2 linked regions of the Bombyx mori genome follow. The protein of the gene in region 1 interacts with the protein of each later gene in a pairwise test. Links are inferred from orthologs where the notes say so. Each region holds a gene or a part of one and is shown on either strand. Other genes may lie near its edges. The genes, in order: PAH and RpS10.

Region 1 (16,363 bases):
AAAATACTGGATTGAAACTTATCAATTGGTGTCTGTCTGTCTTTTTACTAATTTGCTACGTAACAAATCGTAATTAATATCAACATATCTTATAAATTTCATAATAATGTTAATAAAATTATCATTTGAACGAAAATGATTGTCTAAATTCTAAACTGTAGGTAAAACGCTAGTTTAGCAATTTAGATCCTAAATTTAAGTCAAACAAATGACCTCTGCTTTTCAGCAATTTGTATTTGTATATTTGAGAATAAAATTGATTTTTGTACTAAAAGTATTAGTTGGAAGAACTAGCCTACTCCTAATTTAAAGCTATTAATAAATCGTTTTTTTAATTAAGTCTTTAGACGACTAGAAATACGAATCTGTAAGAATTGATAAATCGGAAATTGAACGATACTCATATTTGTACAGATCTACGAAAACAAAAAACAAAATGTAGTTTCTATTTATAACCGATTTTAAATTAAAAAGTGCATTGTAATTTGTTTTCCATACGTGTAATTTTTGAAATAGTAAACTTATTATATTTAAACAAGCATTCTTAAAAACCTAACGAGCAGCTTCAGGTGTTGCGGATAGCATACACTACGCATTGTCCTCAATAGGACCATTACCTAGATACAATAGGGAAGATTGTGTTTTTTCCACCTATTTCTAAACCCAGACTTATATACTCTTATAGCTCACTCGTGTATTAGAAAATGATCTATATTTTGTATTATTTCTTCATGTATGAGATATGTAGTTTCCAAATAAATGATGGCAATAAGATATTACTCAGTTATATTCATTAAGCTCTTCATACAAAATAAAATAATTTAGAGGTTCATTTGAAGAAAATTGTTTTGAATCCTCAGGCTCAGTATCGAAAAGTAAAATTATAAAGTCTTTATTAATACCACTGTAAATAAAACATTTTGTAATTTATTATAGCATCGATTTATTTATATCAGTAATATAAAGACGAAAATGTTGATTCGTCACCTTATCTAACTAGACAATTAAGTTTATTTCTAAACAAATTATTAAATATATTATGTTGGTTAAAATTGCGGTTTTTATTTTACGTTAATTCACATTAAACATAACATTATATCACCACACTGTTCCTAGTTCGAAAATGTATTGGGTTACCCTGTTATACCGAATAAGAAAATGGCGTAGATTAGACACATCTATGGAGAGTAGAATAGAAAGTTGCATTAGAGTATCGTAAACTCGTATTTAAACCTGGAAAATACCTGGACAGAATGATTCAGACTCGAGAATTCCGCATAGTGAATTTATCCTTAACATCGTTTCGTAGTTTCTTTCGTTCAGTGAATCTCTGTTCAGTACAAATTCAAACTTTTTTGCTGACAGTAAAATGAAATGAAAAATTTCATTAAAACTTTAATTCCCTCATATTTCTTTAAGCTTAGAATCGAGAATAGTAGTTATAAAAGACAAATAGATTTGACTTGAAATAAAACGTGTATTTAAAATTGAATTCAATAAAAATAATTTGTTCTCTCTTTTTTATTCCAGATTTCTTGTTTCTAAAAAGTTTCTTTCTTTAAGCTGTACTTACATATCTACATATATTATCTTGAAAATGTTTATAATAGATATGATATACGTGCTCGTGATACCCAAATTATATATGTAATGTGAAATTAATTGTTATATAATATTTTAAACACCACAATTCTTATATATTAAACAACATCCTATATAATTTTAGCGTAATTCATGTCAATTATAAGTATTATATTTTATGAATTTTTAAACTATATTATTTCCTTAACATCCGTAATTTACTAATTCCTTCTTATAATTTTAATAGATTAGACTGAATATACCTACGTACTTAAAACATACTTATTTTATTGATACTAAATGTACTTACAACTATTATATTAATAATTTAAGAATGAAATTTTTTAAATTTATGTTTCACACAAATATAGTCATAATTGTTCAATTACCTCAATCAAAACTTTTTTATTACACTTAACTGAAATGTCTTATCAAATAATATCATTTGAAGTTGTGTACAAATAAGTTGTGTAAATTTAGAAAACTTGAAAAGATAAAATGTTAGTTCTTTAAAAATCATTGGTCATGATTGTCATTAACTATAAGTGTCCCACCTACAACAAGAAGCTAATCTGCATCGTTACAACTTGTCCATAGCGTTTAGCAGCAGCTCCATTTCTTGGTGCACCTCCCGCATCAGGACCCTGATCTGGCGAGCGGAGTCCAGAATGTCAATGCTCTGCGTGTAGGGATTGTAACGGACGCCAAAGTCACGTGGGATCGTTTGAGCAAACTTTCTGTTAACATCAAATTTATTATGAATGATTATATTATGTTCAGATTTAATGAAAAAAAGCATTATCAAATTTTTATCTTAGTGAAACTTGTGAACTACATTTAAGAAAAACTATATTTTGAGTTTATACTTACATCATCTTCTCCTGGGCATCTTCAAAGCTGTTAGCAACGAAATAGACGGGCTGGTATTCTGTGATGGGATACTTGGTACCCCCGGTAGACTCGGGGTCAAACTCTCTCAACTCAGGTTTGTCTGAGAGACAGTACTGTAGCTCGCCGAAGGACGACAGTAGACCGGCGCCGTAAGCCTTTAGTTGACCTTCTTGCCGGCACAGACCAAACTCCACCGTGAACCAGAAGCACTGACATGAGGATAGTACAATGATTGATTATAATATCCATTCGAAGGAACACATAAAACATATTTACAAATATTTTCATTTTAAAATTCTGATAAATACCTTAGCTTGAAATTCTAAAATTAAACAATATTGTTGAGTTATTTACCGTGGCTAGTTTCTCGATGTAATCATCAGGAGCTCCTAGAGACGCAAGACCAATTTCTTGAGAGAATTGTGCAAAGGCGGGATCCGCAAAAAGCGGGGCGTGTCCAAGCAATTCGTGGCACACGTCTGGTTCCGGAGTATAGAGTGGTCTTGAATGGTGTCTGATATACTGGGTGCTGTGGAACACTCGAAAAGCAAGTCCAGCCAGAAAGTCACGCGACGAGAGAAGTCCTGCCACGGGCCGCAGAGTGAAGCCGGTGCTATCTGGTGATGATAAAAGATAACGAATGTTAACATTGGTTTCCACACATATTGTATTGGAGGAATTATAGTATTTTTGGTTCTCATATTAAGCTTACTCCAAAGAATGACGTAGAAACAGCTACAAGTTTACTGATTTGTAAGTAAGACAGCAAATTGCTTGTTACCAACCTCTCAAAAAGTTAGAAACATCTTCCAATTGTGGAATGTTGTCGTCCCTGTAACCACAGTTTTCGATCAGCAGCGGGAAGACATGGTTGTGCTCTTTGCAGGCATGAGTGGGGTAGAGCTCTGTCAACTTCCGGAAAACTACACCCCAGGTGGCCACCTCCTCTTTGGTGTACTCCACATAAGGCAGAGGCTCTCCGTGCTTGTAGTTGTATGCAATGTCGGCGAAATATTTGCGGCGGTCGCGGTAAACAGGATCGGTAAATCCAGGGTGATCAGAGTCCAGTTCGGCACCGTATGAGAGGATCTGGTTGGCAAAGCGATCTAAGTCGCGGATACGACGTGGGAACCAAGGAACAGCGGCTGAAACAATTAGTCCATTTTTATAAGTGAATTGCATTTTCTCGATATGTTGAAACGTTCATAAATGCTTGATTGGATATCAAAGTTTGTATTTTAGCAAATTAAGTTTTCGTTGTGTTTGTTTTTGAAAAGGAGTTAGTGTGAAATTAATTTATTTCTACAATCTTGTCATTTTGTCATGGAAATAGATAACGAGAAGGCACTCACATCGATTATCTTTATAGTTTCTCGAAATAATATTTAGGTATCCAACATTCTTCTTCAGCTCTTCAAGGGCCGCTCCGAAATCTCCAGAACCATGTTCACATTCAACCATGAACTCATAGCCTGGACGCCTTGTGGAAGATCTGGATTCAATGTGACTGAGGTTGACTCCATGAGAAGAGAAAATGCCTAAATATCTGGCTAACGAGCCAGCCTCGTCGGGTGCGACTGGTGAAATCAGAAGCCAAGTTGATTTGGTAGAATCACGACCCTCGCGGATGTAGTTGCCACCTTCCATCAATTTTGGCTGTTGACAATGTTAATGACATGTTAATTTAGGTAGCCACTACGTAATGACTGCCTCTACTAGGCCAACCTATCTAAGCAAAAGCTGATCCACCACCAAACTCAAGAAATACAACGTCTAAGTTTTCTTCAGTATAGAAGTGTCGTTCAATTGTTTAATAAAGCTTATGGTTCGTAAGTAGGTAATGCCAGAAAATGTTACAATAATCTATAAGACAATTTTACACTATTGTTAGACGCGCTCTGCTATAGAAAAAGGACGAAAGAGAACGGAGAGGTAATACGCAGATACAACAAACTTATTTACTTTAATGATAGAAAAGGTAGATATTCTATCAATTTGTTAACTGCTGTTTCAGTTTCGAGAACAACTCACCTAAAATACTATTGATCAAATACATATTATGAATGTATTTAAAAACTTAGATCCTTTTTTGTGTTCAACGAAGACATAATATCAAACTGGTCTGATGTACAGACGCAGTGGCGTGATCAATATTTTATAGTAATTGTACAAGCCAATGGTATCGTCGTGATTAACTGTACCCTTACTAATTCTTTTTGGATGCTTCACAAGTGATAAGTTTGAGAAATATTCAAACACAGTTGAATCGTTGTGACATCCGGCGTTATCGGGAGCTCGTAATTAAATAGATAAGGTTCTTGTTCTATTTCTCGGAGGTCAATCTGGAATAGGTCCGATAACCTCCGCGTCGTCGTCATCAGTGATACGTCCATTCAACGGTTTATTTGTTTGTACAGTATTTTACGAGATTTTTTTTCTTTCTTAGAGGGTTATTTTCACGTTTATGAGGTTTTAAACTATGAACAGTCACGAACAGCTGAGTCACAAGCAGGTCGACTACTTCCAAAGTAATAAAAAATTAACTCGTTCTTCTAGATATATTTTGCCTGGTAAATTAACAAAATTTAAAATATTCAATCTGGGTATAATAACCGGCAAACTTCTTGAGCATTTGTTGACGTAGTGGGGGTAAGTTTGCGCATGGTACACTCACGTGCAAAAACATTACTTACTCTGCGTCATAATGCTATTAAATTATTAAAATCAACATATATATTTATTTATATATTTATTAGAACATCAACAAAACATATAGGTTAATAATTGTAATAATTTAATCTTGGGGTAAAATAGATATTCCTTCTATTAAGTCAAAACTAGAGCTGTTGCCAGGTCTTGGTTCAGTTGAAGCGAAGCTGGTATTTGTAATTTTTTTTTCGTTATCATAATCTTGACCATCATCATCATCACTGTTTTCATCACCCGAGTCGCTATCATCGTGATGAGTCGACATAGGGCTCATCGGCGTAGTTTACAACTCGGTCGATTCGGTCTTTTTTTTTGTCTATAATTAATTATTTTTTGAAGATATTCGATTCGTAGTAATCGAATGTTACTTTTTTCATTTACCAGCTTCCGATTATTTTCTGTTCTTTTTTTCCATCTGAAGCCTAGCTCTTTCATAATTCGTCGTAAGCTTCATTCCGAGCCATTAAAATTTATATCTTCTTTAAATTTTTCGAAGCCTTTCTACGGTACGGAGTTTCGCTGCTTGTTATGTAGTTATTATGATTACATCTTTTTATTACAGATTGAACGAAACTATCCATTCCGGTAACTTTCTTCTTCCCTGATCTTTTCTTACCCGGAGTCCGAAACACGGCGAGCAAGCCAGAGCCTTTAGCTTCGTTAATAATGCACCTAACAGTACTCACTGATGTTTTTGTTGGTTCCGAAGTATGTTTTAATTTTTCCATATCATTCTTCCCCTGTTTTATAATGAAGCAATATACGTCGTACACAAATTTTCTACCCTTTCTTTTAAGTACTACACCAGTTTGTCACGGCATAGTGTATGTTTTATAAAAAATCAACAAACACTCAACAAATAGCAATGGCAACAAAGTCCACAAGCAATTATAACAAATAACTTAACGATTAATAACGATAGACTTTCCACTGAACGCAAGCGTACTTTTGGGAGCAAGCGGAATGAGGGCGCGGTGCGGGACGCAAGGTTCAACTGATCTACCAATAACGCGCTCGATACGATTTCCCCTGCCGTCGCGCCTCACCCTCACCACCAAAGTGATCTAAAATTCGTTTCTGCGCAGTCAAGGTCATTTGCTCAAGAAGTTTGCCGATTACTATACTTCACTACATCGTATAAAACAAAGTCGCTTTCTCTGTCCCTATATCCCTATGTATACTTAAATCTTTAAAACTACGCATCAGATTTTGATGCGGTTTTTTTTAATAGATAGAGTGATTGAAGAGAAAGGTTTATATGTATAATAACATCCATTAAATAGTGGAGAAATCAATAATAAATTATAGTTTCCGAAGCGAAGCGAGAGCGGGTCGCTGGTACTTTGATATAACAGTCGTTAATTTTAAAATCAAAGACATTAAAGTAACACCGACATCAAACCTATAATAAACTTATGCAGTTAATAACAAAATTGTGTGGTTTCTTGAACATTTCCACCGATAGATTTAGCTTTAGTATTCATTTCATTTATCCAACATACCTACTTATTAAATTCCAAACGTGTCAAATTTAAAGGTCACATTTTATATTTCCGTATCCATTCTCCATATCTCATTGCAGAAATCAGTTTAATGTTTGCAGCGATACCTTTTGCCTTCGAAATGCAATCGAAGTGTTGCAAAGAAGTACTTAATTATGTATTAATGATGAACAAGCGAGTACATTAACATTGTAAATCAATAAAGACCGGTACAGTACCGAACTTAACATCCATTTCCAAAAAACAAAATTCATCACTGTCTCTCTCAGTCGAATAAGAATCAACAGAGCTACGATTCGCTAAAATATCAGCAGATATGGAGATAATTAAATCAATTCGCAAAATGTCAACAAAAAAAAATATTTTAATTGAATACACATATATTATCTAGAAGCAATTACACCGCTTATCACAATGTTTTTAACAATAAAAGCAATGTTTTGTTTTTATTGCGTGTGGTTTTCTTATTTTTAATTTAATTTTATAATCGTTGTAGATAAATTTTATGCGAAACGACGCCGCAAAATGTTACTGCGTAAAAGTTAGAAAAGTTTAGCCTCAGACAGACAAAACTGAAACTTTTAGCGTTAGTAACGTTTTAAAGTTACTATTTATTTTGACTAAGATTAATAATTGTGCAGTATGACTACTCCATGACGTGCAAATACCGAAAGTCATGAAGAGGCTCGAAGGCCACCGGTCTAAGTAAACGTAAGCTGTCGATTGCAATTTTAAACTTGTATAGTACTTTTACATTTAAGCTGAAATACACAATTGTGTGGTGGAAGAAATAGACAATAATGCAATACCAAGCTGGTTTAAAACACACCTACACACACGCTGCACAAAGCAATGTGTGATGCTTAAGAAGAAGAAGACGAATATTAAGTGAATTAAAGTTATTGGAATTTCTATGAAACTCAAATATGTGTTTTATTTGATTTAAATTGTTTACTCCTCAATGATTGACTCGAGGAAAACTTACTTTAAAATTTCAAGAATTGCAATGGCTTTAAGTTGGCGTCTTAATTTAGTTTTGAAATCAATTTACGCTACCGGTTGCGTGTTTACTAGATACATATTAATGCGTAGTTAGATAAACACCGAAATATAGTAAGAAAAGTAAAATTTAGAGGTTGTTTATTCTAACACAGGTAACGTAGTCTTGTTCAAGCTGTTCTAATTCATTTGGTCATAGAATTACTCAAATCTATTAAAAATTTCTTCTTCAGCACTAGCGGTTTTTTTTTTACTTTAAAAACAATTGTAATGCAATCAATTTCATTAAATAAACAAGACTACATACTTCCGCTATTTCGTTTGCACTTTTATTACAATGAAATTTAATGGAATCTATGTAATTGCCAAAAAAAGCATTCGCCGTTACTTTTCCTTGCATAATGTAATCCTGCCTATCTGGTTGCAATCAGGTCGGAAATTTTAAGTACGATTATTAGGTATGAACCGAAGTACCCTTTGTAATGTCAAATAGCAGGAAAACAACTATAGTGTTAAATACAATTGTTATTTGTGCTCAACAAAATTTCGATTAGTCAAGATTGAGTTAACAGGTAAACAGTCGTTGCAAGCTAAGCATTGTATTTGCTAATTTATATCTACAGGTTAATTTTTTTTTTAAATACCCTTAAATTCATTTTATTGTTGTTGCCCCTAATATACGTGTTTCTTCAAAACGTTGAGTCTCATACAATAAAAAACATAAACAAAAAATTTAACGTAAAAAAAAAGGTCAGAATATGAAATCCCAAAGCAGTTAGTAGCAAAGCATATAATAATATCAGAGCACTCCTAGCTGTAATATCAGAAACACGCGTTTAAACATGCGTTTTACCTTTTTCATCTTTTCTGATGTCATGCACTGTTTGTGGTCCCATGCACACTAAAAATAAATGATTAACTATATTTTATATAGAAATCCCATTCAGCAAGCATCTATAGGAAGGAGAAAAATAAAAATTGGTGAAGTATATTATATCAATACGGACAAAAGTAGTAACAAACTTAAAAAAAACAGTTTAAGTGAGTTTCAAAAATAAAACTGTAATTCCACCAATTATTTGAAACGTTACGTTAATCTAGATTTGAATTTTAATCTTTGCTTCTCCCCGTGAATTTTGCCGAATGTTTTATGGTTTTGTTTTCCATGTTTCTGTCATGTCACGTTTGTTAACGCACCACCCGCCACTGGAGAACACCCACATTGCCAGGAATGACAGAATCTATCCAGCTTTAGACACTTTTGCTACCGTGACATGTCCTGTCTCACTCCAGATTTGATAAGCGACGTCAAAAACTTAAGTTAACTTAGTAATTACCTTTTCCATTGACTAGCTAATTACTATTATTTACAGAAATATGTTAGAATCGACATCTAAATGATCTATTTACTGAATAAAATAAATGACAGATGGTGATTGAGCCAATGTCGTCATAAGACGAAACAAAAACAGTTTGATAAGTCGCTTAATATTTTTATTCTACGTTAGCAAGTGCGCGCGCTCATAAATTTTAGTATTACCTGCATAAAATTCGACAGATATGTTTATATTTAATATCAGTTTTAATTCAATTTCATACCTTGTCGGGAGGCGAGCCAGACGTGGGTTGTTCAATTTGCTTCGCCGTGATGTCCATTTCTTTTTCTGTTGCTGGAAGAGGCGTGTGTTCTCAGCGTGAGTGACTTATGTAAACAAACCTTTGCCGACTAGCAGCCTGTTATATGCGAACGCTCTGACGTTATTCGACTTCGTAAAATATGGATGTGGTATCTACGACGTTTAGTTGTTTAGATTCTAAAACGACCTTTGACTTCAGGATTTAATGTTTTGTTTTTTATTTGTGTGCAAGTATTGTTTATTGCTTACTGAAATATTATTATTTCAAAATAATTTGACCTCTGTTGTTTTAAACGACTAACCAATGAAATAACAAAATTATACCGGTTTAATAAAACTATCAGTGTTCAGCAGGCCATAAATATTTAAAATAATTTGTATAGTACTTATGACAACACCAACAAACACAAAGACTTGATAAACGCATCCAAAAGTCGAGCTAAGCTTCGTGTATCGTTGTGCTTTATAAAAAACAACGTTGCAATAGATCTGTCAAGTTGCGTTTGAAGGTTCTAGAGTTCCATTATTTTGGCCAGACATGAAATTTCTTGGCTAGGTTGATTATACTGTGATTTTCATCTAAAATATTGTTTTATTTTACTTTTATTTTTTTATTGCTTAAACAGGTGGATGAGCTCACGGCCCACCTGATGTTAAGTGATTACCGGAGCCCATAGACATCTACAACGTAAATGCCACCACCCACCTTGAGACATAAGTTCTAAGGTATCGGTTTTTACAATATAACGGCTGCCTCACTCTTCAAACTGAAACGCATTACCTACTGCTTCAAAGCAGAAATAAGCTTGGTGGTAGTATCTACCCGTGCGGACTCACAATACGTCCTACCACCAGTAAAATTAAATTAAAACCAGTGTTGTAAAAAACAGATACATACAAGTTGGCGTGCGTAAATTTTTCGGACGAAAAAAAAAAAAACAAGTTTGGAATTCCGATGAAGCGAAACCTGACTTGAGTGGCCCCACAATACTATAATACATTCAAAGTTGCAAATATCCAATATAAAAATCAACATCAAAATATCCAACGTACCTATGACAAAATGGAGTTGGCCTAAGCATTCATCAAACATTACTAGGCTCTTTATTTAGCCCCCTATCATAGATTATTTAGGTAAAATAAACGTAAAAACCAATGCCGCCATGCACATAAGAACTAATCATCTCTATTCTCATTAAGTTTTCCTTGCAAGATTTTTTACTATCGAAATTACATTAAACATAAAGAACCCGTTGTGTATTTTACTTGAATTGTAACAGGTTCGCGTTTGGAAGGTCATAATGAGTTTTTGCACGTGGTTCTACTGCGCCGCGTAAAACTCGATGCATTGGAAACGCAAAACCGGATATTAGTAACACAGTTATTATGTATTGAATGTGTTGTGTGTTTTATATTGCAATGAAAATTTGTCAGTTTTGATGTGTCGACAGCCGATACATACTCAATGTGCTCTGAGATACACGTAGGTAATAACATAATGAGCTATTCAAGCATAAACAAATAGTGAGGATTTAAACAGCTCAGAGCGGCCTGATCCCAGCCAATCCCATTAACCCGAGTCGATTATCATGATGAATATTCCATTGCAATTTAACAGCTACCCGACCTACAATAAATTAAATTGGAATATAATTGTTAAAAGATCTCTGTTCATAAGTCGGTGACGTAACTCCATAAACACAAAATATATTTAAACTTGATTAAGTGGCTTTTACTGTCCTTCGAATATGGTTTAAAATCGCAAATATCAACTCTAACGGTGCATTGGCTATTAATATTCATAGCACCAAATTGACATTTTAAATCTAAAAACTTTAATAAATCTAACTTTAAAAAATTTCTCGCTCTTGACGTCGAAGTTTGAATTTTTAAATTATGTAGTATAGACGGAAACATCTATACTAATATTATAAAGAGGAAAGATTTGTTTGTTTGTTTGTATTGAATAGGCTTCGAAACTACTGAACCGATTTGAAAAACTCTTTCACTGTTTGGAAGCTACACTATTCCCGAGTGACATATGCTATAATCTTTTTTGAAAAATGGGGGATTATCCTTACTAAAACTCCAATAATGTAACCCAAGGTGTAAAAAAAATACCTAAAATATTCATTACATCGCGTGACCTGCGAAAACTATTAGTGATAGAATAAAATAATGTAATAATTGTAGAACACATTATTGTTTACAAAAAGTGTCAGGACAGCATATTATGTCTAACTATTAGAGTTATGCCGCAATAAGTGTTCTTTTATTTTTAAAAACAACGTCAAATATCGTTGAAATTTTTGTAAAAGACCCGAGCGGAGCCGGAGCGTGCCGCTAGTAATACATAAAAGGACTAAAATAAAAAGGCTAATAAATGGACGTACTGTCCCAGCATACGAACACGGAACTAATATTGCGGTAGAACTACTACATACATACGTTTGTGGAAGTCACGAGCGGAACAAGCGCACTATTGATATTGCCTGCAGACAAACAAAATCATCGGGATCCATTTGAGCCGAGCTGCCCGCTATATCTCTGAGGTGCTGTATCACAAAACAGAGTGACGTCATAACACGGTTTTCCTTCCTCTGTTTGTTTTGATTGAATAAGTCGATTCATGTTTTATTAAATAATTACAATATATGATATAATAATACAATATAATAACAATATATCATATATTAACAATATATTATAATCCAATTACCCGAATGTGTCGCAACTATAACGAACTAGCAAAGTCGTCAACTGAGTTGGATATTGTTACTTGTAGGTTAGTGACGTTTATAAAAATGCTCAAGGGCATCCTCCAAGTTAATAATAGGTTAAGTAGTGTAATTGTTAAATGTGTATTGTGAATAAAATTATTTCCTTACATTCTATGTTAGATTAGTTTTCGTTATCGTGTTGTTTTGTCGTATAGTTGTAAGGAACATTGTGTACAAATTCAGCACTTTGTCTTGTTTAGTCGTGCACACATTGCTACTGTGGCAAGCCAGATTTTGTTTCTTTTTACTTGTGTTTTTTATGTATATTTTTAGCTTGTAATGTGTATTGTGTGCCTAATAAAAAAATAACTAACTAAACTGTATAGCTATGTGGCACGTCACATCCTCGACGTTGAGTGCTGTTCGCAATTTGACCACAATCATAGCATCCTTGTTTTATTGACGTAGAAGAGTAGAAGCAGACAGGAGTTCACGGCCCACCTCTTGTTGAACGGCTACTGGAAAGCTCAGGTCTGTACCTGAGGATCCACGACATGTGCCCAATAGATCTATCGAATACTATAGTGATATTGTCATATCGTACAACAATCACTAAAACGCGATCGTTTCTGCTCCCAGGAAGCTATTCGTTCTGATCTCAAGATGGGCGCCTATTTTTTATTTATTGCTTATGTGGGTGGAAGAGCTCACGGCCCACTTTATATTAAGTGATTACCGGAGCCCTTAGACATCTACAACGTAAATGCCATCACCTACCTTGAGATACGGTTCTAAGGTCTCAGTTTTAACAGTACAACATTATGCTGTGTGCCGGTGTACAGTGAGAACATGAACATCAAAGCTCAATATATAACTAGTCAGGTCATAAGTATTATCACACAGTAAAAACTTTTCTTTTAGAATGCTGGCCACAATTTTTTTTATTGAATTCGAATTTCGAATTGTTCATGAAAATAAAAATGTATACTTTTAGAATTTTACTCTTTTTTAAATATGGAGTGGACGCTTAAAGAAGACCGTGTTGCAGTTATTGCGTTGCATCGTTGCGGTTACGCGCCAATTCAAATTTTTAACATACTGAAAAATTTGAATATAACCAAAAGATTCGTTTATCGTACCATCAAACGATACAATGAAGACTCTAGTGTAGATGACAGGTCAAGAAGTGGTCGCCCTCGGTCTGTTAGGACTCCAGCAGTGATAAAAGCTGTGAAGGCGCGAATTCAAAGAAATCCCAAACGTAAGCAGAAACTGTTGGCCCTTCAGATGGGGTTAAGCAGAACCACGGTGAAAAGGGTGTTAAATGAAGACTTAGGGCTTCGGGCATATCGAAGAAAAACAGGACATCGTTTAAATGCTCGTCTAATGGACCTGAGACTGAAGAGATGCCGCGCTTTGTTGAAGCGGTACGCGGTAAAAAATATCGGGAAATTCTTTTTTCGGATGAAAAAATTTTTACCGTAGAAGAGAGCTACAACAAACAAAATGATAAGATGTACGCACACAGTAGTGAAGAAGCGAGCGACCGTATTCCGCGTGTCCAACGAGGTCATTTTCCATCCTCGCTCTTGGTATGGTTGGGAGTTTCTTATTGGGGCTTAACAGAGGTACATTTTTGTGAGAAAGGTGTAAAAAAGAATGCAGTTGTGTATCAAAATACAGTCCTGACGAACCTCGTGGAACCTGTTTCTCATACCATGTTCAATAACAGGCACTGGGTATTCCAACAAGTTTCGGCGCCAGCTCATAGAGCGAAGAGCACACAAGACTGACTGGCGGCGCGTAAAATCGACTTCATCCGGCACGAAGACTGGCCCTCCTCCAGTCCAGATTTGAATCCGTTAGATTACAAGATATGGCAACACTTGGAGGAAAAGGCGTGCTCAAAGCCTCATCCTAATTTGGAGTCACTCAAGACATCCTTGATTAAGGCAGCCGCCGATATTGACATGCACCTCGTTCGTGCTGCGATAGACGACTGGCCGCGCAAATTGAAGGCCTGTATTCAAAATCACGGAGGTAATTTTGAATAAGCTTTAATGTCATAAGAATCTATGTTTTGTTAAGTTCATTTTGGTATATGAATGGTTACATAATGAATAAACTTGTTTCAATTATTTTACATTAAACACGTGACAGAATTTATGACCTGATTAGGTATATAATATAGTACATGAATTAGATAATTCTGCTGCGGCACATGAGAACCGAATCATGACAATAAAAACACAACACAGTCGGGAAACTGAAGTTATATTCAGTGCACCAATTTAATATACATATATGTGTGTTGGAGAACATTAATAATCCAGGGTCACGTTCACGGCTTGCTTGTTCACCCAGTACAGCTCTCTATCTCTCACTAATCATAGAATATGATGCTTGAAATGTAAGTTTTTCGTCGTCTAGTGTATGCACTGTCTCAGAGATAACTATGAGCTTGACCAGTACGTTTCTTGTCTATAGACTTACTTATAGGCAGATAAGCTCATTGCAGCATACAAGCTCATCATCAGTGAGTGTTGAAATGACGGCTGATAGAAGAGAATGGAAGAGAAAAATAAGCTGTGCCGACCCCCGCCTAGTGGGATAAGGTGGAGAAAAAGAAGAAGAGATGAGCTCATTGCCGACCTGATGTTTAGAAGTTACTGGACCTGTAGTCTGATAGATAGATCATGCGAAGTGTTAACCACACTACCCACAATAAGAAAAAAGATCAATCTGAATTCTGTTGTATGATGAATATCTTAATGTTAAAAAGTCACGACAGAAGTGAGTAGGAGGAAGTAGTGAGTTCTAATGATAATTATCCAGCAATTAAATCTTGCATCATAAAAATGCATGCAGCGCAACAAATGTAATAAATAAATGAACATTTTTCTTTGAAAAAATCCTAATTATAACAAAAAGTTCGAAATCAACACAATGACATTATGTGTCAAAATTGTGATCAATAGGATATCGTTTCAACATTTCCACAAAGTTTTAATAAAAACAAACACACAATGGTACAGTTGAAACAAGTGTCCCTAAGATTAAAATCGATAAAAAACATACAGAAGATTACCAAAACTATGAAAATGGTTTCCGCTAGCAAGTAAACATTATCCTCAATTTGGAACTAGTAACGATTTATACTGTTCATAACCTGTTCAATCAAATAGAAATCAAACAAGTTTTTTGATGGTTTAGAAGTTTAGATGGACGGTCATTATCGAGCTTGCGGCCCATGTTGTTTTAAGCGACTGCTTAATCCGCACTATATTGATGGCTTGGTCTCAATTATATGTGATCATCAATGTCAGAAATAGAGGAGATGCTGACAACGACCAAACACTGTTGAAATACGTAATAATTCATGTTCGTGAATGACTCCAAAAATGAAGATATAACATCGTGTAATAAAAACCAAACCAGGAAAATTTGTAATATGCGTCATTACTAAATACTTTACCTTAAGTCTCGAGTTGTCATTCACGTTGTGATGTATTAGGGGTCGGTAACCACTTAACACCAGATGGGTCATGAGCTCGTTCATATTATGTCGTCGCAGTAAAAAAATAACCCAAGATCAACATTAAGAGAGATTCTGTTTTAAAATTGATTTCTTATAAATCGTACTACTTACTGTTGTACTTTTTGTTTCCGTGCAGATGACGTTAAATACCTTAACAGGACACAAGCAGTCATTTCCTTATCGGTTTTTTTCCTTTGTTTATGGCGGCCTTGTGATATCCCAGGTTTACAAAAGCAGAACGCGAACTGCAAGCAGCGAGGCCTTTCGGTTATGGCCCTAGGAAGTTCTACGAATCTTCTCGATTGATAAAGGCGGCTGTGGACAGCAAAGATAAGAAAGACGCCGCCGCTGTCCCCGAACCAGTGCAGGAGAAACCGGAAGACCAGGAGGCCCAAAAGAAACTCAAAAGGATTTATATAGCTATGACGTCTGACAGAGGTATCTAAAAGTTGCTCGTAACTAAAATTCATGCTCAAATATGGAAACATGGTTTTTTGCTTAGTATTATTATAGCGGTTATTATCACAGAGCATGTAATTAACTATATTGTTTTCTATAAACACGTGTATAGGGCGACGTCTACAAAGTGAACAGAAAATGTATAATGTTATTCGAAACTTGTAAATATATACGCAAGCTTGTCTTGAAAATGCTGTTAACGAGAATCAATTTTTTTCTATGTTATTATATAATCTGTTTCTTGTTGACTCAAATACGAACCAACTTCTTAAAGAAGCCATTCCGAAGCCTTCGAAGTCACTGCGCAATAAAACCTTGTGATAACAG
Region 2 (15,956 bases), on another chromosome or scaffold:
CTCAATTAGCTCATCTTTTAAAGTCTTTATTTCTTCAATAAAATTAAACTTTTCAGTTGACAATTCATCTTTACAATTTTTCAAATTGTTCAATTCCTGTTTCAAATCGGAATTCTGATTGTTGGTTAAATCTAAAGTATATTTTAACTCTTTTATCTCTTGTTCCAAATATTGTATAGTTTTCTCTTGCTGCGAGCAATGCTCTTGAATGCTTTGGCTCCGCTCCTCAAACTGTATTTCACATATTTTAAGTTTTTCACTAGCAGATTCCTCAATTTGTTCAAGTTTCGCTTTCATTTCCTGTTCTTTAATAATCAATTGACTATGGAGTTGTTCTAAAGCCTCACATTTCTCTTTTAACATTTGGTTTTTCAAGGATTCAATTGATGCATTATGTTTTGTTTTAAGATTTTCTTGATCAACTTTACATTTACTGATAATGGCTTGTTTTTCTTCATCCAATTTAGTCTTTAGAGCTTCCAATTCTATTTTGTACTCTCTCCTGATACTTTCATTAGCTTCCAGTGCCAAAGCATGGTGTCCCTTAACCATCTCCAATCTCTGCTGTGTTTCAGCTAATGTTAATTCATTGCTTGTTAATTTTTCTTGTAAATCTTTACACAAACTATCTCTTACAGTGATCACTTCTTCCAGTGATGACAATTCCATCTGCTTATCATACACTTCATTGTCAAGTGCTTCACATTTTTTTTCAAGTTCAATAATCCTACTTCTCATATCATTTATCATGGCAGAAACTTTCTCAGCGTCTGTACCTTGAACAGCATTATGTTCCGTGTGGCAATTTGTGTTATTAATTCTAAGCTTAGAAAGTTTTCTGTCAATTTCATTGAAATCAATATTGTTATGAGATTGCCTAAATTTAGTTGCAAGTTCTTTTAAAATTTCTTGAAGTTGAGCTATCTCATTTTTGTAATCTTCTATTTGCTTGTTATACTCACATATGGTTTGGTCCTTATTTCTGAAATAAAATAGTATTTAATTATACTAAATAAATTTTAAGATCAAGTGAATTTATCAGCTAATTGAAATAATTATTTACAAGACTCACCTTATTTCAACATCTTGTGCTTGAACTAATTCATCCTGTGGTAATATTTTATTTTTGGGACATGTTAATGTTTTCTTAATGCTGCTGTTAGGAGCTTTGGTAATTTTGAAAGCTTTGGGCTGAAATTAATTAACTCGCTTATAATTTATATTATGTTTGTTCATATTTTATACACAGCAATTGACGACTTTTTCATACATTTCATTATAAAGACTGAACCCACAACTGCATGTGCACAGTAATGTGGTAATATTGTCACTAAGTTAAAAAACAATTACTACCTAGCCCATTGTCAAAAATTCTTTTAAATACAGTGAATAAGTACATGAGCTAGGGCATATAATGTTACAATTACTACAATTAATATTGAGCATTAAAATAATGCTGACAGTACCTTTTTTCCCTACATATTTACTGGTAGTTTAAGGGGCTATTCCAGCTTCTCGCAAACATGTTATAGTACCATATAGCTATCTACTCGTAGAAGAAATTTATAATAATTTTGCAAAGGAGTAGGCCAAGTATGTGGTATTTACATGTTTGTACCAAACAGGGAATTTGCAATAAAAACATAATGTAAAAAAGTTTAAACAGTACTTACTGTGGCAAATTTTAATGATTTGCTACTTTGGACACTACTACATTGAGACTGCCCATCGACTGGTCTAATAGAATTGAGTGTGTTACTGCGACTTTTGCACAAACTTGATGATGTCTTCGTATTAATTTTAGTACTTTCACTATCTAATTTCTTATGTACATTTGTCTTCTTTTGATTTTTCTGGGCAACTGGAATTTTAAAGCACTTTTAGAAACAGGAATCAATAAATTTATGGCTTTAACAAAATAAATTACAGTACATTTATCACACTCGCTGGTCTAGCTTAGTAGGTTGGATCGCTCTACTACCGAGTCCAAGTTCGATTCCCAGTCTGAGTCAGTAACTTTGTTTATTCGTGATACATATTCTTGACTTATAAATGTGTTTCCGGTGCCTATGGTATAGTAGAAAATTGTATCCGGGGACCGTTAAATGTGGAAAGTTTATTAGTTCTATTCATTATTAAACTGTAGTGAATAAACTTACCAAGTGGTTCAAACCGCTTAGCTTTTGAAAACATGCTGAATATATTTGAAGAATCGCGTTCTTCGGAAATAGTTTTCCGGAACGACGAGAACGATCTGTTAATGTATTAAATTATTAATGAATAAAATAGATTTCGTATTACATATGTATTTAATTAACTGTTTAATATATGGACAGTTAATTATAATACCTAGCTTATAAAGTTAAGAGAAGGAATTTGACTTGGACCGAAACCGAGAACTGAACAGAACTGCGATGTGGCGCGGGAAACTGGACGGTTGGTTTTATGCATTGACGCTTGGTAATAATAAACAATAATATCTATTCAACAAACGAACAGCTGCAACGAACCGTTAAAATACGTTCCGTGCCACGCAGAATCATAGATTTTAAACAATAAACGAGATTTAAAATCAGAAATCTAAGTCAAATTATTCGACTGTTTGATTTTGAATTCACTTTACATTACACATACATAGGGCATAATAATGTAAATCCTTTGATAGGGCATAAAATACTGCGTGGCAGCATCAAAATTTGAAATTAAATTTTTTATGTTATAAAATATTTAACTAAAGAGTTCATCATTTTTATCTGCAACATTTCGAATTTCGTTTTAACGTGCTTAAGTTAGAATTAGCGTCAATAAGGCAGCGTCATTGGCGAGCAGTTAAAATAGCCCCTTAGGCTACGAGCGAATAGGTGGGAGAAACGGCCGATGGGGGATGCAATTATATAGATAATATGTATTTTGAATTGAATTACAGTTGATTCCGGTATTGTTTATGTAATATTCCATTTCGATAAATCCTCTCTTCTCCCTCCCGTCGTGGCCGCCGGTAACTACATTCCTGATCCTGCGGACCGAATGGTAAACAGTCGACGTCACCCAAAACACGTCATCTCGGATCCTCCCGATCCACCAACGGTGCAGGTACTCCAAGCACCGGTCATCGTTCTCGTCGAACCCGTCGAAGGGCTCGACGAGTATATTAACCCACAGACACAGCCCACTGAGTTTCTCACCGGATCTTCTCAGTGGGTCGCGTTTCCGAGCCGGTGGTAGATTCTGCGAAGCACGGCTCTTTCGAGGGTTCGGGTTAGCAACAACGTCAGGTTTGAGCCCCGCGAGCTCACCTACTCGGTCGGTGACGCTGATATGGTCTTGAGAGAATATCAGCTTAGGTAAGAAAAAAAATGTAAAATTGTAATTACGTACATTTGTGTTATGTTGTGGCGCCACGTGTCTGGTTGTAGTGTTGACCGCGGGAACCCCCTACTCTGACGGGTTTTGACCCCGGACGGAGATCGGACGTCGGGTGTAAGAGTGCAGGGGAGTTGTTTAGTGCGGTAGAGCCCTAAAATTCCTTGGGCCCGCGGTCTGCTCCCAACACCTTGCAGATCGTCAAGTCCCACATACCCCGCGCGCCCCCAAGGCGCGGGAACCTCGTAGGAGGTTCGGCCTCCGCGCCGAAAAAAAAAAGGTAGTGAGTTTGCGAGGTGTATTAGTTGTTTATTTGAAAAGAACCTATAGGTAGTCAAGCAAGAATGATTATTATTAAAATGGCTACATCAAATTTTGCCGATTCATGTTCATTTTACCAACACTGAGTTTTATTTTATTTATTTAGTAGTTATTACTATTTAATTAGTACCATAAGGACGGGGTAAGATTATTAACTTGCGACCATGAGTGTGTGAAAACGATTTGTAAAAGACATAGACAAAGATAAGTTGTTCAAATTGGAATTGAGATATTTGTACGAAATTGAAAAGAAAAAGCTTTTATCATAGTTATGACATATATATCTTTTAATGAAAAACTCCCTTTTTATTACCATTCTAAACACTTTTTTTAAATAACATTTAAACACACCAAGGAGGTAGAACTAGGTAAACCCAGGACTGAAGTAATATGTTCCTACTAAGGATTCTTAAGAAAAGTCATCATGGTCAAGAGGATAAGATACCCAACGCATTCCTAAAAGCTACATTATTATGCTAATCACACTTCCTACAAACTCAAAGTAGGTATCAAAAGACTATTTGGAATGCAAGCTCACATCCTACATGGCATTAAGGGTTACTTACTGGTGACCTATTACAGGAATTGAAGTCAAGACACAATCGTTAGCAATAATTTTTTTTATGTATATTGGAAATTTTTGTATTTTCGTTTAAAAACATCTTGACATTAAAGTACAAAAAGACCATAATTGAACAGAAAAGAGTGTTAATTAATGAAATTAAATTAAATGTATGTCAAAAACTTTATTGGAAAAATATCAACTAATTACATAGAGGGTGGTGGTGGGGGCACTGGTAATAATGGTGGTGGCGGTGGTACTCCCAACATCGGTGCTCCAGGAGGTGGAGGCAACCTCATGCTATGACCCTCCCACATTTTGGGATGGGGGGGAGGCATGCGTAACTGATCCATCTTAAATGCAAACTGCAAAAAGAACTGCTTTGTGTCCTTGTTCCAATGAGTCCAGAATTTTGAATCATGCTTTTCAACTTCTCTGCTAGGGACTTTAAATGCAATAGTTTCATAAGGCTCTGCTGCAAATAACAAATACTGCCATCTGCGGTCTGGAGGCTCAATCTTCTGTTCATAAGCAGACATAAATCTATGTCTAGGTATAACACCCTCTGCAATCTCTAAAAAAAATATTACACAGCATTTGAATATCTGTTCCTCTTTTTAGTATGGTTAATAAGAATTATTTCATCTAAATGACTTAAAATAAATTTTAAAGAGTAAAAGATTAGAAATATAATAATTGTAAAAGAAAACCTATTTAAACTACTTTTATTTCAATTTCACTTTTCATAATCATTGAAATGACTGTACCTGGATAATCTACTTGGAAGAGCAAGCTCTGCTGTCCAGTTTCAGGATCTTTCTGTTTTGTTACTCTGTAACCAGGTCTACCAATCTTCACAAATTTCTTAGGTTCAATTCTAGGTTTTTCCGGGGCAAGCTGTTGAGGCGCTTCTTTGGCTTCCTTTGCAGCTCTACGTGCCAAATTGGCTTGATGCTTCTTCCCTTGCGTGTGAGCCAAATAACTTCCCTCATTGTTATGCAGGGTTAAACAAAGTTTACATTCATAGGACCCTAAAAATGAAGTTTACGTTTGTGAAGTGAACGAGGTTAACATGTTGAAGTTATAACTAACGTTTATTACTCACCTAAATGATTTTTCATAAAATATGGATCTTTGTTTAAATCTATTGTTTCTAGTGCAAGCTGTCGTAATCTCTCCCGCCGGTCTCTGTTACTTTCCGACCATGACGCTACACCTCCTCCACCAGTTTTACCGCCAGGGCGATTTTGAAAATCCATTTTAATTAAAAGTAACACTTATTTTAAGCTTAGAATATTAATTGTCCAGTTGACAAAGTAGTTAAACTTTGACATTAAATTAAATTGAAATTCGTAGTCTGCTCTGTAATTAATATAACCTAACATGACATTTGATGACATGAATTGATTTTTTTTAAGGGATTTTATGACCTGGTTACTAAGACCTTTAGGTCAAGTCTTATTTTAATTTTAATGAAAACTTTTCTCTATATGGGCCGTTTTCCAATTACAGCACAAGAGCGCATTATACGGCATAATGCTCAACTAAGCTTCCGCATAATTCGGCATTGTGCGTCACTGAGTCGGATTATTCTGTGTAATTAGAAAACTACCATTAAATAATGGTAAATGGAAAACGGCCATGAAAAATGATATTATGAAATGAAATGAAGTTGATTATTAAGAAGCATGACATGAATCGAAACGAAACGAAATCTGTAATCTGAGACTTTAATCAATTGGGATGAAAGTAAATGAAGTAACTGATAAATTTTCTTCATTTTTTATGCTACTACAAACGATATGTTGACTACAAGCAAAATCTGCTGTAGTAAGCGCTTAAAGTATGTCTCTTGTACGAGTATGAAAAGTTAGTCGGACACTATTTAATGGAAATAAAACAACATGGATGTAAAACATTTGTAGGTGTTCAATGAAATTAAATGAAATAACCTCATTTCGACGAAACTCACTTTAACACATGCATGCACGCGCGCGCTCATATAAACACACACACAACATCTCATTGAATTTCGTTTCCTTTAGTCATTTCATTCCATTCATTCCAATTTTACATTTCAGTTAATATTCATATTATGTCTTCCCTACAAAAGATTTGGCTGTATGAATTCAAAGTTGATGATTGTCGATTGATTGCTATTTGACAGTTGACAGCTTTCAACAAACTTCCCTTCAATCCCCTTGCTCTTTTCTGTGTTAAGTTAGCCTACAGGTAGTACAGTTTTTCTTATAAAATCGATCTTAAATACATTAATCAGTGCATATTACTTATTATAAGTGTTATAAGTGAAGAAAAAAGTTATTGCGTAATCTTGTGATGAATATATTTCAAGAAGTGCTACGTTTTTTTCACTTGTATGTCTTAACCCAATAATTTGTTGTTTTAGGCGGCTTTCAAGATGTTGATGCCCAAACAAAACCGTGTTGCTATTTATGAGTACCTCTTTAAAGAGGGAGTCATGGTGGCCAAAAAAGACTATCATGCACCGAAGCATACTGAACTAGAGAAGATTCCTAACCTCCAAGTTATCAAAGCTATGCAATCACTCAAGTCCAGAGGTTATGTCAAAGAACAGTTTGCCTGGAGGCACTTTTACTGGTAGATATTTATTATGTTTCATGTGTTGTCTATTATTTGTCGTAATTTTCATAGATTTAATGTAATGATACGATTCTCATAGAATTCTGTATCAACTACACTAATTTAATATAAACACTAATATTTTATACCTTTTAACAATTTGTTGAGAATGTTAAATATTGAGATTAACTTATATCTGTCAATCAATGTCTGTTGTTTAGGTGTGCAATAGAGTACACATTAATAATAATATGAATTGTTTGGCGCATTAAATTAATTTCACTAATAACTTTTTTTTGTCAACCAAAATGACGAATCTGAAAAAAAAGCTGCTTACCTTCAGAGAAATACCAACCTTTAAACATCTGATGTTGTTGATTTTAGACATTTTTGTTTAGATCACTTACCTTTTCAATGGATTATTTAATTCTCATATCGTGTCTTGTGTGGTGTCAACCCGTAATATCAACACTGCATCTCTTCTGGATTTCATAAATTGCAACTTAAGGTTTTAGTGAAAAATGGATATTGGTGTTCTCTAAGTGTTCAATCTGAACTCTACTGGTATTGGGGTATTTTGTAAACCGCCTTTGTATTCCGGCTTCATCTGGGTTCCAGTTTGAGGGGAGGGGGACACCTGTTGCACTATAAAGTTGAGACTGAGCTCATGTCTTAAGGCAAATGGCATTCTTGTTTATATTTATGGGATCTAGTGACCCCTAAACACATCTGGGCACTAAATAAAATCTACTATTTCTTTGTCTAACCTTAATTTTTATAAATATTTTTTCTAAAATTTTCTTCAGGTACCTAACCAATGAGGGTATTGAATACTTGAGAATATTCTTGCACCTTCCTCCTGAAATTGTGCCTGCAACACTTAAGCGCTCAGTACGTACAGAGACAGTACGCCGTGGCCCTGTTGGTCGTCCTGATGCCCCAGCCCGCTCTGCTGAGGACAGATCTGCATACAGACGTACTCCTGCTGCCCCTGGTGTTGCACCTCATGATAAAAAGGCTGATGTTGGTCCAGGCTCAGCTGATCTTGAATTTGTAAGTCCTATATTGTTGTGCCGTATAATTGTAGACTGGATTGAAAAGTTACAAGCACCTGAAACATACAGTAGACTTCAGTAAAATCTACTCCTGTTATCCGACATGCTTATAATATGAAAATACAAATTTATTTTTGTAATTCTTCATTAATGTGTTTGAACTAGTTGTATTGTATGTATATTAACTAAATATGTTGGATTACCTGGTACTCTTTTCGAAAAAGTTTTAGACTTTTTAAGAGGGTCTGTGACAATATTTTATGATCTGAAACAATCCTGAAATATGTTTATCACATAACTACAGGTCCCATCGGGTTAAACCAACAAAATTTGCTTGTTTTGTTGAGAAGAAAGCATGTCTGAAACCAGTTTTGTTGCTTTGTGTTTTATTATATTTAAATATTAATTGCCTAAATTATTCAAAGAAAATATTTCTATTTGCAGAAGGGAGGCTATGGACGTGGCAGGCCTGCTTCATAATTTAAGCAATAAAAAAACTTAAAATAAGTCAATGGTGTTTTTTTGGATGGAACTAAGTTTTGTATTTAAAAATATATATATTTCATAATATCTGATTGTATCTGAAAGTACTCTGATGGTCTGCTGAGCCCTATCTTACTGAACCATTCGGGCCATGAGGATCACCCATCACTACGTAAACACTTCACACGTAACCTACGTAAACAAGCTACAGATTGCAGCTATAAAACAAATCGCGTACGGAAGTGAGCCGCGCGGCCTTTAACTGAGCCAAATGTCTTTGTTTTCAAATCCAATAGAAAGTTTTAGTTATTTTAAAATGTCTTAAGAACTAGGCGCTAAAAGTTGCTAATTGTTACCTTCCGTGCAAATTATCGAATTGAAGTTGATAAAAATTACTAATTCCCTGATTTTGGCTTGGCCTGAATGGTATAGTACACTAGGCCCATTGGTGGGCCACAGCATTCAGCATGTTAAGAAACTAGTGTGAGTTCCTTCTCAATCCTTGTGAGCAATATAGTAGTACTTAACTGCCTCATTGATTTGATTAGTGATTCTTGCATATACCGTGAGCTTATTCTAGTGGTTGCCCGATCACCGTCCTCGTCGAACCCGTCGCTTGTGACGAAGGGCTCGACGAGCGAATTAACTCCGACACAGCCCACTGAGTTTCTCGCCGAATCTTCTCAGTGGGTCGCGTTTCCGATCCAGTGGTAGATTCTGCGAAGCACGGCTCTTGCTAGGGTTCGTGTTAGCATCGTCGTCAGGTTTGAGCCCCGTGAGCTCACCTACAAACGTTAGGGTTACGCTGGAATAGCCTCTCAAGGCTACCAGGTTAGGTAGGAAAAAAAAAAAAAATTGCTGTTCGTTAGTCTCGCTAAAACTCGAGAACGGCTGAACCGATTTGGCTAATTTTGGTCTTGAATTATTTGTGGAAGTCCAGACAAGGTTTAAAAGGTAGATAAATATGAAAATGCTTGGAATTAAATAAAAATAACAATTTTGTTTTTTTATTTCCCCCCCGTCATACGGATTTCTTTGGTTTGTTTTAAGTTTATTTTATACAAAAGCTTAGGTGTTTTATTTAACAATGGAGGCACTACGAAGTCTGACGTGTCAGCTAGTAATTTATAAAAATGTTGTGCGAATTACCCAAAATGTTAAGTGTCAAATAAAAAGGAAAAAACTGCCATGTGCGATCTATTTTTGAGTGCGTCGTAAAAACCGTTTGAGTTACATATACCATAATATGTAAAATGGAATTTTTTATCATATAACTATCGTTTATTTGTAAGCCATTATCGCCAATATAGTGGACCATTAATTTAAGAAGACGAAAGATTAGATTTTTTGTTTATTACCTACGTTCTTTTTTTAATGTTTGTTTCTGTCAGGACCAGATTTGTATAAAAGAATATTCAATAAGATCAATAATAAATTACAGTCCTCGAAGCGAAGACAGGGCGGGTCGCTAGTTTCTTAATAAAATCCAAAGCATAATTATTTTATGAACGTAATTTATTAAACTTTGTCTACACGCCCATAAAGTTTATCCAAGAGGTAGCTATTATTTATAAAAACAATTCAAGCTGAGTAAACTGGTGGAGGGTCTGGTTTCGGGAACTCTCCAAGCCGATCCATGTAGTACTGATGGGCGCGAAAAGGTTTCAGTTCCCACGGAACCTGGTCTTCCATGTGCGTCAAGGTGACGCCCAAATCCTCAAGGGTGGGCACGCCGATCACCACATTATCTGAAGTAGCTTCCTGTAATTCAAACCATTACATTATTTCGACTTTTTACAATGTCTGAAAATTCAAAGCGTATTTTGTGTGATATGCGCTGCGTTTCACAGAAAGGAGTGAAAATTTTAGTTACATCTATAATTAAATTTAAATTTATTAATAGGGCCGTACAGCCACGCTGTCATTATCATTTAATGATAATGTTTTTCAGAATATTGATTTGCAGACATTATTCGTGCGACACCTGTCTAACGTTGGTAATACTATGAAATACTAGCTGTACCCGTCCGCTTCGCTGGGCATTTAAAATTAACATTATTTCTCACACCCACAAAAATTCTCATCATTAACGCCCCCGCAACTGGTGTAGGGAGTCCAACACTAATATAAATATTAGCCTATCCATTAAGTACATGTACTTTCTACATGGATACCAAGTTTCAAGTCAACCGGATGCACAGTCCAGTAGTTATAACGGAACATCCGTAAAAACCACTGTAGATTTATATATTAGTATAGATTTCCTGAAACATGACAGTCATCCGGATAAACCAAATATTCTAATCATATATAGAAGATATATATTTTGATTGTATCAGATAAGTTAATTTTAATTACCCTTTCAATTCCTTCCCAGTGAAGATTTCCGAGTGGATAAGCTGGTGAAATGGCATTAACCAAAGCAACTTTCAGGGGCAGTATCGGGTCGTACTTCATGTCGTAGCGAATGTATCCACCCCATTTTTCGTCCTTCCTCATTAGTTTGTAAAACCAATCAACCAAATCGGCAAGTAAGTAGCGTTTTGGCCTGAAAACACATTAAGGATTTAATTGTAACGTATTTTTTTTTGTTTTGAACGAACTCACGACGCGCATGGTGTTAAGTGGTTATTGGAGCCAATACATCATAGCACGAATGTCGCCAAAAACCTTGAGTCATGAGGTCTTAGTCTCAATTGTTTAGTATAACAGTTATTCCAATTACGGAGTCCCATGAGACAGATGTTACTATTATGTTCTTGTGTGTGTGAATTAATTGTGTAATGATTTAGATTCATTGTGTATTTTTTTAAATGATGTTTACGACAATGAACAAAAAATGATTATTATTTCAAATTATGCGAAACGTAAAGAGTTATGCCGGCCACTCACATGCGCGCAAACATTCGTACAACATTCGTACATTCGTCAAACGTTCATTCGCAAACTTAGCGGCTGTGCAAATGGGTTCGGTACTCAATTTGCGAACCCGTTTGCGCTTCCTCCTACACTTGTTTACGAATGTCTCACGAATTTCTCCTCCTTTTTAATTCGTCAATAGAACATTGAAGAAAAAAAGAGTTTTGAATTATTTCCCAGATATCATTAACAGCCATGCTGTTTTTATGGGATTTCTTTTGATGAAGATACGCTACACAGTAGACGTCACGATCTATGAAAATAGCGAAACGTCCGTTGCCTTCGCAATCCTGGGCGCAACTGGTCACACGAATGTGTGGGAGACTACGCGAGGTTCGCGGTTCGCGCGCTTTGATGTCTGTTAAAAAACCGACACAGCTTGGAAAACCACTAATGCAGCGAAAACTTTGCATAATCATTTGCAAATGTCGTCCTACACTTGCGGGTTTGCGTATTCGTGCGCATGTGAGTGACCGGTGTTACGTTCTAAGAAGTTTCAAAAGGGACTTCGTAATTGGAATAGAGTATAGCTCGTCCTTCAAACCAGAAAACAAGACTGCTGTAATTGTAAACTATTTGTATTCTGCGTTTAATATTTAAGATGGAACTCACCCAACGGCTTGGTAGACTTCACATTTAGTGTCGTCGTCGCGCGCGGCGTTCACGATACCCTGAGCGACGTCCGACACAAACACAGGCTGTTTCACAGTCGCTAATCCGTTTTTATAGAGGGGCATCAGGTTGCTGTGAGATCGCATCTTATTAACTAATGACCTGAAAATAGTTGCAGTATATCGGTATAGTTCGGTAGGCCCGTCGACATCCACGACATGACGGTGACACTTCGTCTTCTCGCATTAAAACTGTATAATCTCAAAACTTACTAATTTTACAGGAGACTGTTTTAAAGCTTTAACATGTGATATTTTTAACATTAATCATTTTTGCAACTTTTTTTTTTTTTTACCAGTTACATTATCTTTCTTTTAAAGTAGGATAAAATTATGTATTAATTTTGTTAATAGTAGTCAAAACATGGGTAAACTAAAAAAAAAAGAACTAAAACTAAACTACGCTATTTTGACAGTACATATTTATGAGAAAAATACTGGTGATACCAAATGATCCGCATATTAACTCAATTTCGAATATTTTAGGAAATTGTACACTTTTAATGCGAAAAGACGACTTGTAAGCAGACGAGCAAACAGCCCACTTGATGGTGAGTGGTTACCGTTGCTCATGGATGTCAGCAATGCCTCAGGAACAATAGAGCCGCGAAGTATCGCTGAGTACTCGTTTGAAGAAAGATTTGTCATAGCGCTCAGGATACATTGAGCAGGGGAAATAATTCCGAGGCCGCATAGTTAACTACTATAAAACCCCGTTTAACGCTGTTTCGGTTTAAAGCTCTTTGATTTGAATTCTAGGAAAAAGCATTACACTAGATACTAAAATACAAGTAATTAGAAGTTTAGATACTGGTGAATGTCAATCTCAAATTGGTGCTGCATTGAATTTTACAACTTCAACAATAAGGACTATTCTTAAGGTAGAAAATTGGACATACAGAAGAGACTGAATGATCTGAAAACATAACTTAATACTGACTTAGAATTTTATTTATTTTTATATGTATGTGTGTGTATACATTTGTTAAAAGTATCTTGTTGATTTATAGTTCTAAAAAATATAATTAATCATTTAAATCGTAAAATACCTGAGTAATTTTCTAACAATATTCCTGTAACCCCTTGTTGTACAGCTGTCCCACATTTCAAGTCTGAGAGCACCTACTCGCTTTTAATAGATGTAAGAGAAGATGCTTCGCTTCGATACCTAAGATGCTTCGCTTTAGCATTGTGAACAGTAGAAACGGAAGCTCATCATATATTACTTTTTGTTATTATGCCAGTTCTCATCGCATTAGAAAAATCGAATATATATCTTTTTAATTCATTTAATAATAAAAAAAATAGATGGACAGACAACGGATTGTTGTTGTGGTGTCAGGTAAGCCTATACATTTTACAGACACTCTTCCGTTTAGCTTTAATGGTGTGTTTTTTGTCTATATAACATTTTCACAATTGTGCTGTCTGACTTTTGTAGCTTATTCTTTAATTTTACCAAGAATTTTACTCAATCAAAGACAGAATATTTTGAGATAAAGCAACAGACCTATATTATTAGGTGATTCGATTCTAACCTCAAAAATCTGTCTTCGGAACCATAGATGTCTGATGCTCGGATAATAGTGGCAGTTGGGTATTCCTCTCTGACTGCACACTCTCCCAAATACTTGCTTATTTTCCAAGCAGACGGTTTCTTCAGGACAAGAGGTTTCGGATGTTCTTCAGCATTTAAATAAGACAGATGAATGAATCTCTCAACTCCTTCTTCTCTGCAGATTCTGTTGTAAATATTTATCCATTATAATATCGTATTTCATGACTAAACTATAATTTTGAGTACACATGGCTGATGCATTTTATTTCAAATCCGTTTAAAAGCAAAATAATTGAACATATTTATAATTTAATATTTTATTATTATTATTAACAGTTCAACTTTATTTTAGTTTTATATTTCTTTGATCTTTTGATAACAAAACAAACCTGGCAATTCTTCTTACACCATCAACGTGAACATCATTGTATTTGAAATTCTTAGTTTCATAATCTCGTCCAACTAGATTGATGACAACATTAGAGTATCGGACCGCTTTTGCAATAGACTCCTCATCAAGGAGATGGTAAGGAGTAAACAGGACCTGGCCTAAATCTCCGCACACTTTCAACCTTTGGGCATCATAGAAATCGCCTCTGTATGGTAAAATTAACTGCAATAGATATTCAGGTTAATGTAAAAATCTTGTCACTTAATATATTTATCAAAAAATGTTTAATCCGGTAGAGATTTTGATCGTGATCATGACATCACTCATAACAAAAAAATGGATATTTAAAAAAAGAATTATTGCATAAAACATGAACAGAAAAATTATAGCATAAAGGCGAAAATATTTATTTATGTCCATATCCATATTTAAGAGTAGTAAATGTAGGGGCAATAATCTTCTTTTTTTGATTAGATAGGTTGTTAAATGAGCTCATATCTCACGAGGTTTGAAGAGATTATGGGACCCCTAATCATCACACTTGAATCCTTTATCCACCTTGCACCCATTATGCAGGAGAAATTTCGAACTTGAGGCCATTAGATAAGGATTATTTATTAATGGATTAAAATATTAAGATGAGTATCCTTATGGTTGGTTCTATGAATACTTTCATATATGGTATTTCGTAGGGGTAACATGAGCCTTTAGACATCTTTAGACATGTTTAATTTACAATTTATTTTTGTTTAAGAACATCGCATTCTCTTTATATTTGCATGCTGTACTGGTGTTTTTGATAGGCAGAAGACTCAGATTCAAAAGTATTTGTTCTTACCTGGGTACCAATTTTTCCCAATTTGTTGCACACATAGCGTCCGACAAATCCGGTGCAACCGAAAACTGTGGCTACGATGCCGTTAAAGCTACTGCGGCCACCAGTACCTCGCTTATATGCTGCAAGGTTGGGTTTACGATCCGAACTGTAGTTAGCGGCTTTGATGTACACAACACTCATAGACCCATTCAAATCTGAAATTTTATGTGAAATTTACGCAATTTCATATTATTTATTATACATTTTTTATCTGTACATAAACAGCTGAATGTCATTATGTAAGACTAAAATATCGTGTCAGATTATTGAACAATACATTCTGTACTCACGAAGTAATTTGCTAGTAGCTTGAGTTTTTAGTGCTATCGCAGCCATTTTATGGCTTAAATATTGTGATAGCTCTTATTTATACAGTTGATAATACTCCCATTTAAAATGGACAAACTCAATGCGAGTGTGTAATGTGTATACAATATTACAGAATATTTCGAAGGTAAAATTTGACAAAAGATTGACATTTGATAATAATGATAGTAGTGACAGTCCTGTCAAAGCTATGTTCCGATTTGCACTATGAGCACTGCAACGTGTGACGTCAATTTAGTAAAGTGCGAAGCCGTTTCTTTAGAGCTAGCTATACTGGTTACTGCTTAAAGGGAACGCATTATAGTATACTGTTATTGATATTTTTGGCATTGTTCAACAAAAACGATTTGACCTAAAAGTCTTAGTTACCAGGTCATAAAATCCCTTAAAAAAACAGTGGCATAAACATAGATTATACACATAATATTAAACTTATTGTCATTATAATAGGTAGTATTAAGTACATACCTACATATACTTAATATTTGATTAATGTACCTTTAAAACAGGTGAATGAAGTTAGCCCCTCAAAAAAATTTTTTTTTCCTTTTTTCTACTTATTTTCTATTAATTCGTTTGTTCATCATTTGTTCTTGATTGTTTACTGTTAATAATTGTTTGTTCCCCATTTATTTATTTTAAAAAAAATATTAAAAATATATCTAAAAGTTAGCCCCTCGATTGCAATTTTTAATATTTTTTCGTCCTTAATTACTCGTAAATATTCATTTTCGATTGTTCTTATATAAAATACGTTTGTTCTCTTTCGAAATTACTCATTTTTTGTTTAATTAATTGTATTAGTTGAATAAATGTATACAAAATATG

What was found.
Region 2: the proteins of PAH (region 1) and RpS10 interact in a two-hybrid assay, tested with the Caenorhabditis elegans proteins (2 studies listed by BioGRID). The link is inferred for Bombyx mori from reciprocal best matches to the Caenorhabditis elegans genes pah-1 and rps-10.

The regions. Positions count from the first base shown.
Region 1 is NC_085107.1:20,094,246-20,110,608, reverse strand, and holds PAH (phenylalanine hydroxylase), read right to left. Parts: upstream 9,368-16,363; 5' UTR 9,339-9,367; coding exon 9,282-9,338; intron 8,584-9,281; coding exon of another isoform or gene 8,536-8,583; intron 4,129-8,535; coding exon 3,825-4,128; intron 3,618-3,824; coding exon 3,258-3,617; intron 3,090-3,257; coding exon 2,827-3,089; intron 2,682-2,826; coding exon 2,452-2,681; intron 2,319-2,451; coding exon 2,162-2,318; 3' UTR 2,129-2,161; downstream 1-2,128. Other genes in the region: ATP synthase subunit gamma, mitochondrial, read left to right, coding at 15,066-15,157, 15,801-16,015. UniProt on the Caenorhabditis elegans protein: Catalyzes the hydroxylation of L-phenylalanine to L-tyrosine. Catalyzes the hydroxylation of tryptophan to 5-hydroxy-L-tryptophan. Plays a role in the biosynthesis of a melanin-like cuticle pigment.
Region 2 is NC_085119.1:6,713,991-6,729,946, reverse strand, and holds RpS10 (ribosomal protein S10), read left to right. Parts: upstream 1-6,451; 5' UTR 6,452-6,478; exon of another isoform or gene 6,479-6,572; intron 6,573-6,653; 5' UTR 6,654-6,665; coding exon 6,666-6,865; intron 6,866-7,653; coding exon 7,654-7,900; coding exon of another isoform or gene 7,901-7,984; exon of another isoform or gene 7,985-8,346; coding exon 8,347-8,382; 3' UTR 8,383-8,409; downstream 8,410-15,956. Other genes in the region: uncharacterized protein LOC101737912, read right to left, coding at 1-982, 1,073-1,191, 1,674-1,861, 2,160-2,193; splicing factor 3A subunit 2, read right to left, coding at 4,453-4,820, 5,014-5,277, 5,352-5,505; NADH dehydrogenase [ubiquinone] 1 alpha subcomplex subunit 9, mitochondrial, read right to left, coding at 9,967-10,146, 10,744-10,933, 11,917-12,078, 13,514-13,717, 13,923-14,146, 14,763-14,956, 15,092-15,137.